2 linked regions of the Cricetulus griseus genome follow. The protein of the gene in region 2 purifies or fractionates together with the protein of the main gene of each other region. This does not show direct contact. Links are inferred from orthologs where the notes say so. Each region holds a gene or a part of one and is shown on either strand. Other genes may lie near its edges.

Region 1 (5,140 bases), on a different chromosome or scaffold from region 2:
GGCTGCATCTTTGCTTTTTTACAAAAGGTGTTTTTTTCTTTTTATCTTCAATTTTCTTTAGTCCAATTGATTTAAATTTGTCTTCAAGTGTCTGTAATATAAAGTGTATGTCCTCTCTCTCCAAGGTGCTCCAGGAAATGACATACGGGTTGTTCAGTGATGTCTTTACAACCAGAGGTCTAGTCTTCCTAATAGATCCCCTCTTAGGTGCTTGAGGGGCTGCAGCCATCTTGAAAACCCTTCAGAAAGAAGCATTATCTCATGTTAGTAATGCATGCTCTGAGAATATTTTGGTTATATTCCAGTGTTTTCTTGTTTTTTACTCCAAACTGATAGGCAAGTCTAATTATATAGGCCCAACTAGGTAGCCATGAACATAACTTCTCTGGTAAAATGAAGTAGTTATAATTTCCCCTATTTTTTTCCATGATACACAGGCAATGTGAGAATGACTGGTGTTAAGCTCAGAGGTTTAGCATCTTCTAAACTCTTAATTAGACTTCACTCATTTATTTTTAAAAATTAAGTTACTAGGATTGGGGATCATATCATAGAGCGTCAGAGGGGACAGCTCTATCAAAGTAGGTTCTCTCCTTCTACCATGTTGAATCACAGGGTAGAACTTGGGTCACAAGCATAGTGGCAAATGCTTTTACTCTCTGAAGAATCTCAAGGGCCCCTCATTCACTCATTCATCAGCCCATATACTCCAGTGGGCAGATGGTGTTCTAGGCACAGCTGCTGGTGGGCATCAAGACACTTGTGTCTGCCCACACAGAGCTTATCTGTAGTCTCTGAAATTCATAACTAACCAGATCAGGCTTTAAGAACCAAAAGTAATATATGTCCATGGCTAAAACTTATTCTGTACCCCTTTGTAAGTCTCCTTCAATGATCCCCAATTTCCTTCCTAAAACATACAGGCACATATTTTTCCCTTCATTAGATTATAAGATGACTGCTTTGACAGGCAATTTCATGAAAATTTGTGATGAAATTCAAAGAAATTAATCCATTAGGGAGAAATAAAAGGGCTGGGCTCCTTCCGAAAGCGTATTAGAAGCCATTGGCCTATTCATAATTTTCCTAGAGACTACAGATATGGTATTAGCCTTACAGACTCTTTAGGATGTTCTTGGTTGCTCTCTAGTTGGGTATTCATCTAGATCAGGCTTGTCCTTTCCAAAGGCAACTGCATACTTCCTTCTCTCAGTTATTTTCTCCTTCCTAGAGTTTATCTAAGAACTATAAAGACCCATTTAAGCAAGTCCCCTTTGATTAAGGTTCCTCCATTTCAGGGCACTTTCTCCAAATATATACCCAATTCCCTAACACACCTATAGGGTTCCTCAGTGTATGGGTTAGGAAGCTGACTCATGGCTCCATCTTCGAAATAACCTGTAGCTTATAAGAACATACAGATGGCTGGTTCCCACTCTAGAGCTACTGAGCTGTAGGAGTGCAGCCAAGTCATGGGTGCTGGTAAGATGTCCAAGTGAACTGAAAAAGAACCAGCATTTGGAAATGTTGGTTGTGGGACAGGTTGGCTTTCCAAACTGGACAGTCCCAAGAAATGGTGTTGCAGAATCACTCCGAGATCCTGATCCATAAAGCCAGAATTCCTCCCAGTGAGTGCTGCAACCTGGTCCTGTCAATGCTGCCCACTGCTACAGACATGGTCTGTTGATGCTTCCTTCCCCACACTGCACTGCACTCTCCCATTGGTCCCTTATTAGCTCTATGCTCCCCTCAGGCTCAGAGATTAAAGAACAGAAGGCCATCCAGATCTAGTGAGGTGACTGCCAGAAGCTGATATCTGGCTGTAGGTGGTCAGACAAAGTGACCAGGGAGCAAGACAACGGCCCCACCACAGTTCTTACCAACCGGCGATTCAGTTACTGTATGGGCCTAGCCCATCGGTTTACGAGGGACACTCACTCTTAGATACTCTGCAACCAAGGGACAGCAAGATTGGGATCACTTCTCTGATACACAGAACCTGGAAGGGAAGATGAAAAAAGTCAAGTCTGCATAAGGTGGCCGCCATGCAATATGAAAAAATGCTTAACAGCTTCATAGACAGGAAACCAGGATGGACATGTGCCTTGCCATCTGTGTCTGCAAGCTGCTGCTGCCTACGGGATCAACTGAAAACTCAAAGGTTTAGCTTTTACCCTCCCATTTCTCACAAGCCTTTCTCCTTTCACCCACCATGCATATTATAGATTCGGGCTATTTAATGAAACCTCTGGTGTCTCATGTCCTTATGCTCCGTGTATCCAGCCTAGGATACGACTCACATACCACATGCTCTCTCTTCGTCAAAGTCTTATGGATTATATCCTTGATGCCCTAAACCATTAGGCGTTGTGCAAAGCGAAGGCCTCTGCGGTTAATAAAAACGTCTCACTTTAAAAGAGTAGTAGTGATGTACCTTAGGGAGCAGAGAGGTGTGGCCTTAGCCGAGAGAGTCAGGAAAAGAAGGCTCTCTGGGGGAAATGAACGCTCTCTAAAGAATTCCTTCCAGACTAAGTAGAAAGGGGGCAGCGGGGTAACCCAGAAGAATATTCAGTGTCGCTGGGACAGAGATAAAGGCGTTGGAATTACCGGGTAGGGACAAGATGGAGAGTCTTGGCGGTGGAGTGGCGCGATTAGAAAGGCGTCACGGAAAGACCTTGATTCTGGGAAGGGACCTGGGAAAGGTTGTCAGCAGCAGAGCACCAGTCCCGTGGTCTCGGGAGAAGCAGAGGTACCCGCGTTTCGCCACGCAAAGGAAACCCCTCCGGAGGGAGACTGAGAACGCCGGAAGGGGCTTCAGGGAGACCTGGAGTGACCTCAGAAGCTGTCTGCAGCCCCTTTCCCACCACCCCGCGGTGACAGGGGTGCCCACGGGCTGGGACTCGGACCATAGGCGCTCGCCCACCTCTCCCGAAGCGCGCCCTGCGGAGACCACAAGACAGGGACTCCGTATCACGACTCCGCCGCCACTGGGGACCCGAGCGCCGGCTCCACGTGCGCCTGCGCTGCGCCTGCGCAGCCTGACCGCCTCCCTTCTGCATTACGTCACACCTGGTAAGGGACTTGAGCGGCAGCTTGTGACAGCAGGAAGTCCTTCCGTAAAATCCCTAAGCTCGGGACAGACCTCTGGAGCAGCACTGCGCAGGCGTATGATCTGTCTCGCGAGAGTCTGTGGTTGCTGTAGTAACCAGCCGCTCTCAGTCTGGACTGGTGGTGTAAAGATGGTCTAGCCACCGGTTCCTGGGTTCTGGTTCGTGGTTTAAGCACGATGGCTTCTGCCTTGGAATTCTGGCCCGCTATCTCTTTTCATTCTAGAATCGCAAAGCTCCAGCCCTTATAACCATTCATTCTCTGCACATGTCCCCGCGCCACGAAAATCAAATAAATAAGGGTTGTAGGGTTAGGTGTAATTACAATTTAGGTGGAGAATTTTGAGCCAACTCCAAGAGAAATAAGGGCGGCTTTCAATTCCACAGCAGTATTCCAGAATATTCCAGCAACATCTGTTCTGCCTTGGAGACAAAAATGGAGACAAAAAATGGTTATCAAGCCAAGCGGTGGTGGCACACGCCTTTAATCCCAGCACTTGGGAGGCAGAGGCAGGAGGATTTCTGCAAGTTCGAGGCCAGTCTGGTTTACAGAGTGAGTCCCAGAACAGCTAGCTAGGGCTACACAAAGAAATCCTCTCTGGAAAAACCAAAAGAAAAATATTGGTTATGAACAGGATCACTGGGGAGTTATGGACACTAGCAAAAGAGTGGGATACTGTGCCAACGATTTAAAAACCTAAATCTGTTGGCTACATTTGACAAAATGTTTTTATCCTTTCTGTCCTTTTCTAACGAATTTGGGTGGACTCAGGTCCTTCTCCATGCCTTCCTCCTGTTCTCAGTGTCTTCACTGCTCATTTTAGATTGTAAAACTTTAGAGTCTAGTATTTTCATTATACACCACCTACTGCACATAAATTAAACAAAACAAAAAGGGTTGCTTTGGGTCAAAGATTGTTGCAGTTTTTACAGGGAATGTGCTGTGGTTTTTATCACAAGCAGATTATCAAGAATAAAGCCAGCATGAGTTTTGAGTGTAACAACAGGCTTTTGTTTCATAAAACGTTCTTCACCCTTTTGCAGTCATGTGGCGCTGAAGACAAATTGCGATAGTCAATTGAAACACTAAAGGTTCACATAAAACCCTGGTGCTTGGGAGACTGAGTCGGGAATATGTAGAGTTCAAGGTCAGCCTGGACTGCTTAGTTCAAGGCGACCAACCTCAGCTACAGCCCACACCCCCGAGACACACACACACACACACACACACACACACACACGAAAGAATGAAAGAAGGAAGGAAAGGAAAAGAAAAGAAGAGGAAAAATGAGAGGCAAGAGGGGGAGAGAAACAGAAGTAAAAAGGTAAGCAGAAAAGAAGGCAATGGCTCTGTTGTTATCCCACTAAAGTTCCAGAAATAAAGTTTACCCATGACCTAACCTTTCACGTGATCATTTTTCTAGCTCCTACATTACAAAGCTTTGGAACCAGGCTGCTAAGTTGGAACCCTAACCTTACCACTAACTAGTGTACCTATGCCTGGCACAAGTTATGAAGTGATAAAAATAGCACCTATTCTGAGGATTAGAAGAGAGTTCTGTGTAAGATGCTTATCACAGTGCCTGCCACATAGTAAGTGCCAGACAAACTGAACCGTGATGGCCCAGTGACATCTTTGGCAGAATCAGGTTAATAAAATTTAAATATATCCTCTACTATTTTAGTCCTTGTTTTCTGTTTGAAGTCTGGCATTATTTCCACAAGAATTTTACAAAAAAAAACATGCTATTTCTCATAGGTAATTTATTCCATTTGTGTGACACAAACTTCATAACAAAACAAGTTATTTTTAGAGGTTCTCTTAAAAATCATCTGAGATGATACAGTCACCCCCACATTTTTGTTCAGAGTCATATACTAACTTATTTCCAATAGATGTGTGCTTAAAAAACAGTAATATCAATTCAGTTTATGTTCAGATTGTTTTTCTACAAGCATTTTCCAGTATGTCTCAAATATTTCTACAAACATTTTTCAGTAAGCATCCTGTAGTTTCCTTAATTACTATATAT
Region 2 (3,750 bases):
TCTCATCTCACTCTAGTCTCAAGATGCCCAGAAATGAGGGCTCTGCAGGAACAGGAATTAAGTATAGCAGTCAAAAGTGTCCGTTTCGAGAGCTGGGGGCCTAGCTCAGTAGGAGTACCTAGAATCCACCATTGAAGAGCTGGAGCATGGCTCAGCATGGCTACCCTTGCTTTGCACACAAAGCCTCTATCTAGGTTTGACTCAAACTGAGAGCAAACATAACTGTCAGTTCAGGGAAGCTAATTTTAGAAAGCTACAATCTTCATCTTTTTTTATTTTTGCATGTCTATGTTATGTGAGTATGGCTACATGTGTTACAGTATACAGCAAAGGACTTCAGATATCAGTCTTCACCTTCCACTTTGAGACAGGATTTCTTGTTTTTTTGTTTGTTTGTTTGTTTTTTGTTTTTCGAGACAGGGTTTCTCAGTGTAGCTTAGGAGCCTATCCTGGCACTTGCTCTGGAGACCAGGCTGGCCTTGAACTCACAGAAATCTGCCTGCCTCTGCCTCCCCTGTGCTGGGATTAATGGCGAATGCCACCAACGCCACCAATGCCCGGTTCTTGCCGGTTTATGCCAGGGTGGCTAACTCACTGGCCAGAGGATCCTCCTGTCTGGTGCTCATCTCCCTAGAGAATCGTGGGAATTAGATTTGAGTACTGAGTGCCTGGTGTGAAATGGATCCTGTTTATGACTGTGTGTGGGGCTCGTGCTTTTCCCATTGAGCATCTCCCCGACCTTCTCCATCTTAACTCTGTGGTTACTAGGGGATGAACCTGGTGCCCAACCCCGTGCTGCGCACCTAGGTAACACTAGTCACAATTCCCCCATTGAGTCATACCACAACCCACTTCCTTCACCTTCAAACCTTCTCTATTCCCAAGCCTTATCCACCCCAGCTGCAGTCAGCTTGGTAGATGAGTCTATTCTCTAGTCTTCCCGTGAGCACGCTGTAACTGAGCTCAACTGTAAGTCAACAAATTTGACCCATGTCACACTGTGACCCAGTGTGGGTTCTTTTCCTGTGCCTAAGTACTTGTAGTTTCCTACTGTTCCTACTCAAGCACACACAGAATTATTATACGCGGAAGCCTGGCACCAACACAACTTGATTCTTTTATTGTACAAGACAAAGAGGATTCATTTCTTGGGCTCGTTTACCGTCCTCTAGGCTGAGGTAACATATTTTTTCTTACAAGGCTCTGACAACAGGTCCATATGAGAACAAGAGTCCTATGAACTAGCAGCAACCTCAGCCACATGACGCCCGGATGTGTGTGCTCCCAGGAGTTGGTGTATGACAGTCTGGCTTCACTCCATCTACTTAGGCGTGACCCTGAAGACCCGGATGTGGATGGCCGAGTTGTTCCGGATCCTGGTCAGTGGCTCTCGAGAGTCAATCTCTGGTTCCAGCTCATCCACCAGCTCCACGGTGGAGGTGTTGGCAGCCACCTGCAGGGACCCAAAGCTGCCCGCCTGCAGCTGCAGGGCGATGTTGATGGCGCGGTTAATGGCCAGACCCAAGCCGTGGATGTAGATCTCGGCGCAGGCGCTCTGCCCCCTGCTGCCTCCGTCCAGCAGCTTTTGGCAGCGGGCAAGCTGGGCCTTAAAGTCCGTCTTCATGTTGACATAAATGTCATTGGGCCTCCGGGGCAGGCGGTGGGGAAGTCGCTTCCGGAGGGTGTACTCCACGGGGTCCAGCTCGGCCTCGACGGCGCCGCGGGGCTCCCTGTTCTCGGCCATGCTGAGTGCTGGCGTGGGGGACAATGACCGGGCGGTCCCTCCGGGCGGCCGGCAGGGGGCGCCCCCGCCCCCACCGCCCTCCCGCCCGCCACTTCCGCTCTCTTCCCTCATCACGTGGCTCCCGCTCCCGGCGTTCCCGCGCCTACCTTCTCCCCGCCACAGCGCCCTTCGCTCGCGAGCGCCTCGCCGACCGCTCCCCCGGGACGCCGCTGCTCAGGACACTCGGAAGAAGAAGGAAGAAGCGATGGGAGCAGGAGCGCCGTGCCGGAGAACCGGGGCTACGAACTGCGCACGCGCGTCCCCGTTCCCCAGCCGGAATCGCTCGGCTCGTAGCCTTCCCGGCCTCCGTTCTCCCGCCCCCTCCCCGTCCTCGTGCGCGTGCGCAAGGGAACTTCAGTCTCGCGAGACTTCCTGACTCGAGGCGGTCTGGCCCGGAGGGCGTCGAGGGCGGGGCTAGCTGTCGGAGGTGGGACTAATCGGTGGGGGCGGGGCTACGAGGGGCGTGGTGCGGGTGTCCCCGCTGGTCGGGACTCGAGCACCCGAGCCGGAAACGGCTCTTGCAGTTTGGGCAGGGGTTCGGGCCCTTGCAGGAGCCGGGGTCCCCGGGGCCGGGGTCACCGCACCGGGAGCCGCGGGATCTACAGCTGAGCCCCCGAGCTCGGTCCTGGCGGCCCCGCACGGCCGGATGTCCACCCTGGACGCCCCGCGCGAGGGGCCCACACTGGGTGCCAGGCGTTTGCAGCTTCCCGCCGCGCTGCCCCCTGGCGGGAGGGACGGGGACTGCAATAATTGGGCTCCCAGCCCAGACTGGTGAGGCCTTTGGAGAGTTCCCTACAGACGGGAGTAAACCTGTATTGGGACCTCTTACTACAGCCCCAGACCACCTGCCGAGGCAGAATCTCATCGGAGGTTGGAAAGAGAACTCTGATCCGTGTTGCATAGCCAAAGATGACCGCCAACTTTTTTTTACCCCCAAAACAGGGTTTCTCTGTGTGTAGCCCTGGCTGTGCTGGAACTTGCTCTATAGACCAGGTTGGCCTCGAACTCACAGAGATCTGCCTGCCTCTGCCTCCCGAGTGCTGGGATTAACGGCATGTGCCACCAGGCGACCGTGATATTGTGATCCCCTGCCTCCACCTTGGGAGTGCTGGGATCAGCAGGCACCATCAAACTGAGATACATGCCTAGCCTGTGGGATATATGTTGAAATGAGAGGCTTAACATTCTAGACATCAATTTGCTCCAAGTTGGTCTATATATTTAATGCCATTTTTAGGTTAATCCTCAGAGTTGCAGATGTAAACCAGGAATCTTTTTGGGTGGTGAGGATAGGGTTTAGCTATCTGGTTCAGGCTGGCCTAGAACTCATGTTCCTCCTGTCTTGGCCTGCCCAGTGCTAGCTAGCGTTACAGGTATGCACCACTGTGCCATCCTGGTAAATTTATACTAAAATGTATGAAGAGGGAGACCATGACATGGGCAATGGATCTAAATACGAAGCTGTTAACTTTAAACCATTCGGAGAAACTATGAGGGAACCCTTCAAGAGGCTAGTCAAATGCTGGAGAGATGGCTCGACAGTTACGAGCACTGGCTGCTCTTCCAGGGGATCTAGGTTCAATTCCTAGCACTCAGGACAGCTCACAACTGTCTGTAACTCCAGTTCCAGAGGACCTGAAACCCCTGGCAAAACACTAATGTGCATAAAATATAAATAAATTCCAATAGACTAGTCAAAACAAGTCCAGAGATGGATGGGGGATGAAGATAAATTGTAGTCCATTAGCATTTCAAGGCTGGAGGGTCTGTAAGTAAAGTCATCTACTTCAAAGCCTAAGGATCAGAGCTGGGTCCCTAGGGCCCACATAGTAGAAGGAGAAAATAATGCATTCCTATAAGTTGTCCCCTGACCCCTATACACATAACACTACCCAAACACACTTTAAATAAGTAAATGTAAAAATAAAATTTAAAACCGTTAAGGCTGGACACCTGTAATACAAGCA

Evidence for each region.
Region 1: the proteins of Pop7 (region 2) and Rpp38 purify together in Homo sapiens (co-immunoprecipitation; 3 studies listed by BioGRID and IntAct, with this or other methods). This does not show direct contact. The link is inferred for Cricetulus griseus from reciprocal best matches to the Homo sapiens genes POP7 and RPP38.

Annotation. Positions count from the first base shown.
Region 1 is NC_048596.1:220,625,561-220,630,700, forward strand, and holds the start of Rpp38 (ribonuclease P protein subunit p38), read right to left. Parts: upstream 3,059-5,140; 5' UTR 2,924-3,058; intron 2,743-2,923; exon of another isoform or gene 2,608-2,742; intron 2,000-2,607; 5' UTR 1,881-1,999; intron 240-1,880; 5' UTR 230-239; coding exon 1-229. UniProt on the Homo sapiens protein: Component of ribonuclease P, a ribonucleoprotein complex that generates mature tRNA molecules by cleaving their 5'-ends. Also a component of the MRP ribonuclease complex, which cleaves pre-rRNA sequences.
Region 2 is NC_048597.1:116,424,824-116,428,573, forward strand, and holds Pop7 (ribonuclease P protein subunit p20), read right to left. Parts: upstream 2,034-3,750; 5' UTR 1,891-2,033; intron 1,753-1,890; 5' UTR 1,745-1,752; coding exon 1,322-1,744; 3' UTR 1,093-1,321; downstream 1-1,092. UniProt on the Homo sapiens protein: Component of ribonuclease P, a ribonucleoprotein complex that generates mature tRNA molecules by cleaving their 5'-ends. Also a component of the MRP ribonuclease complex, which cleaves pre-rRNA sequences.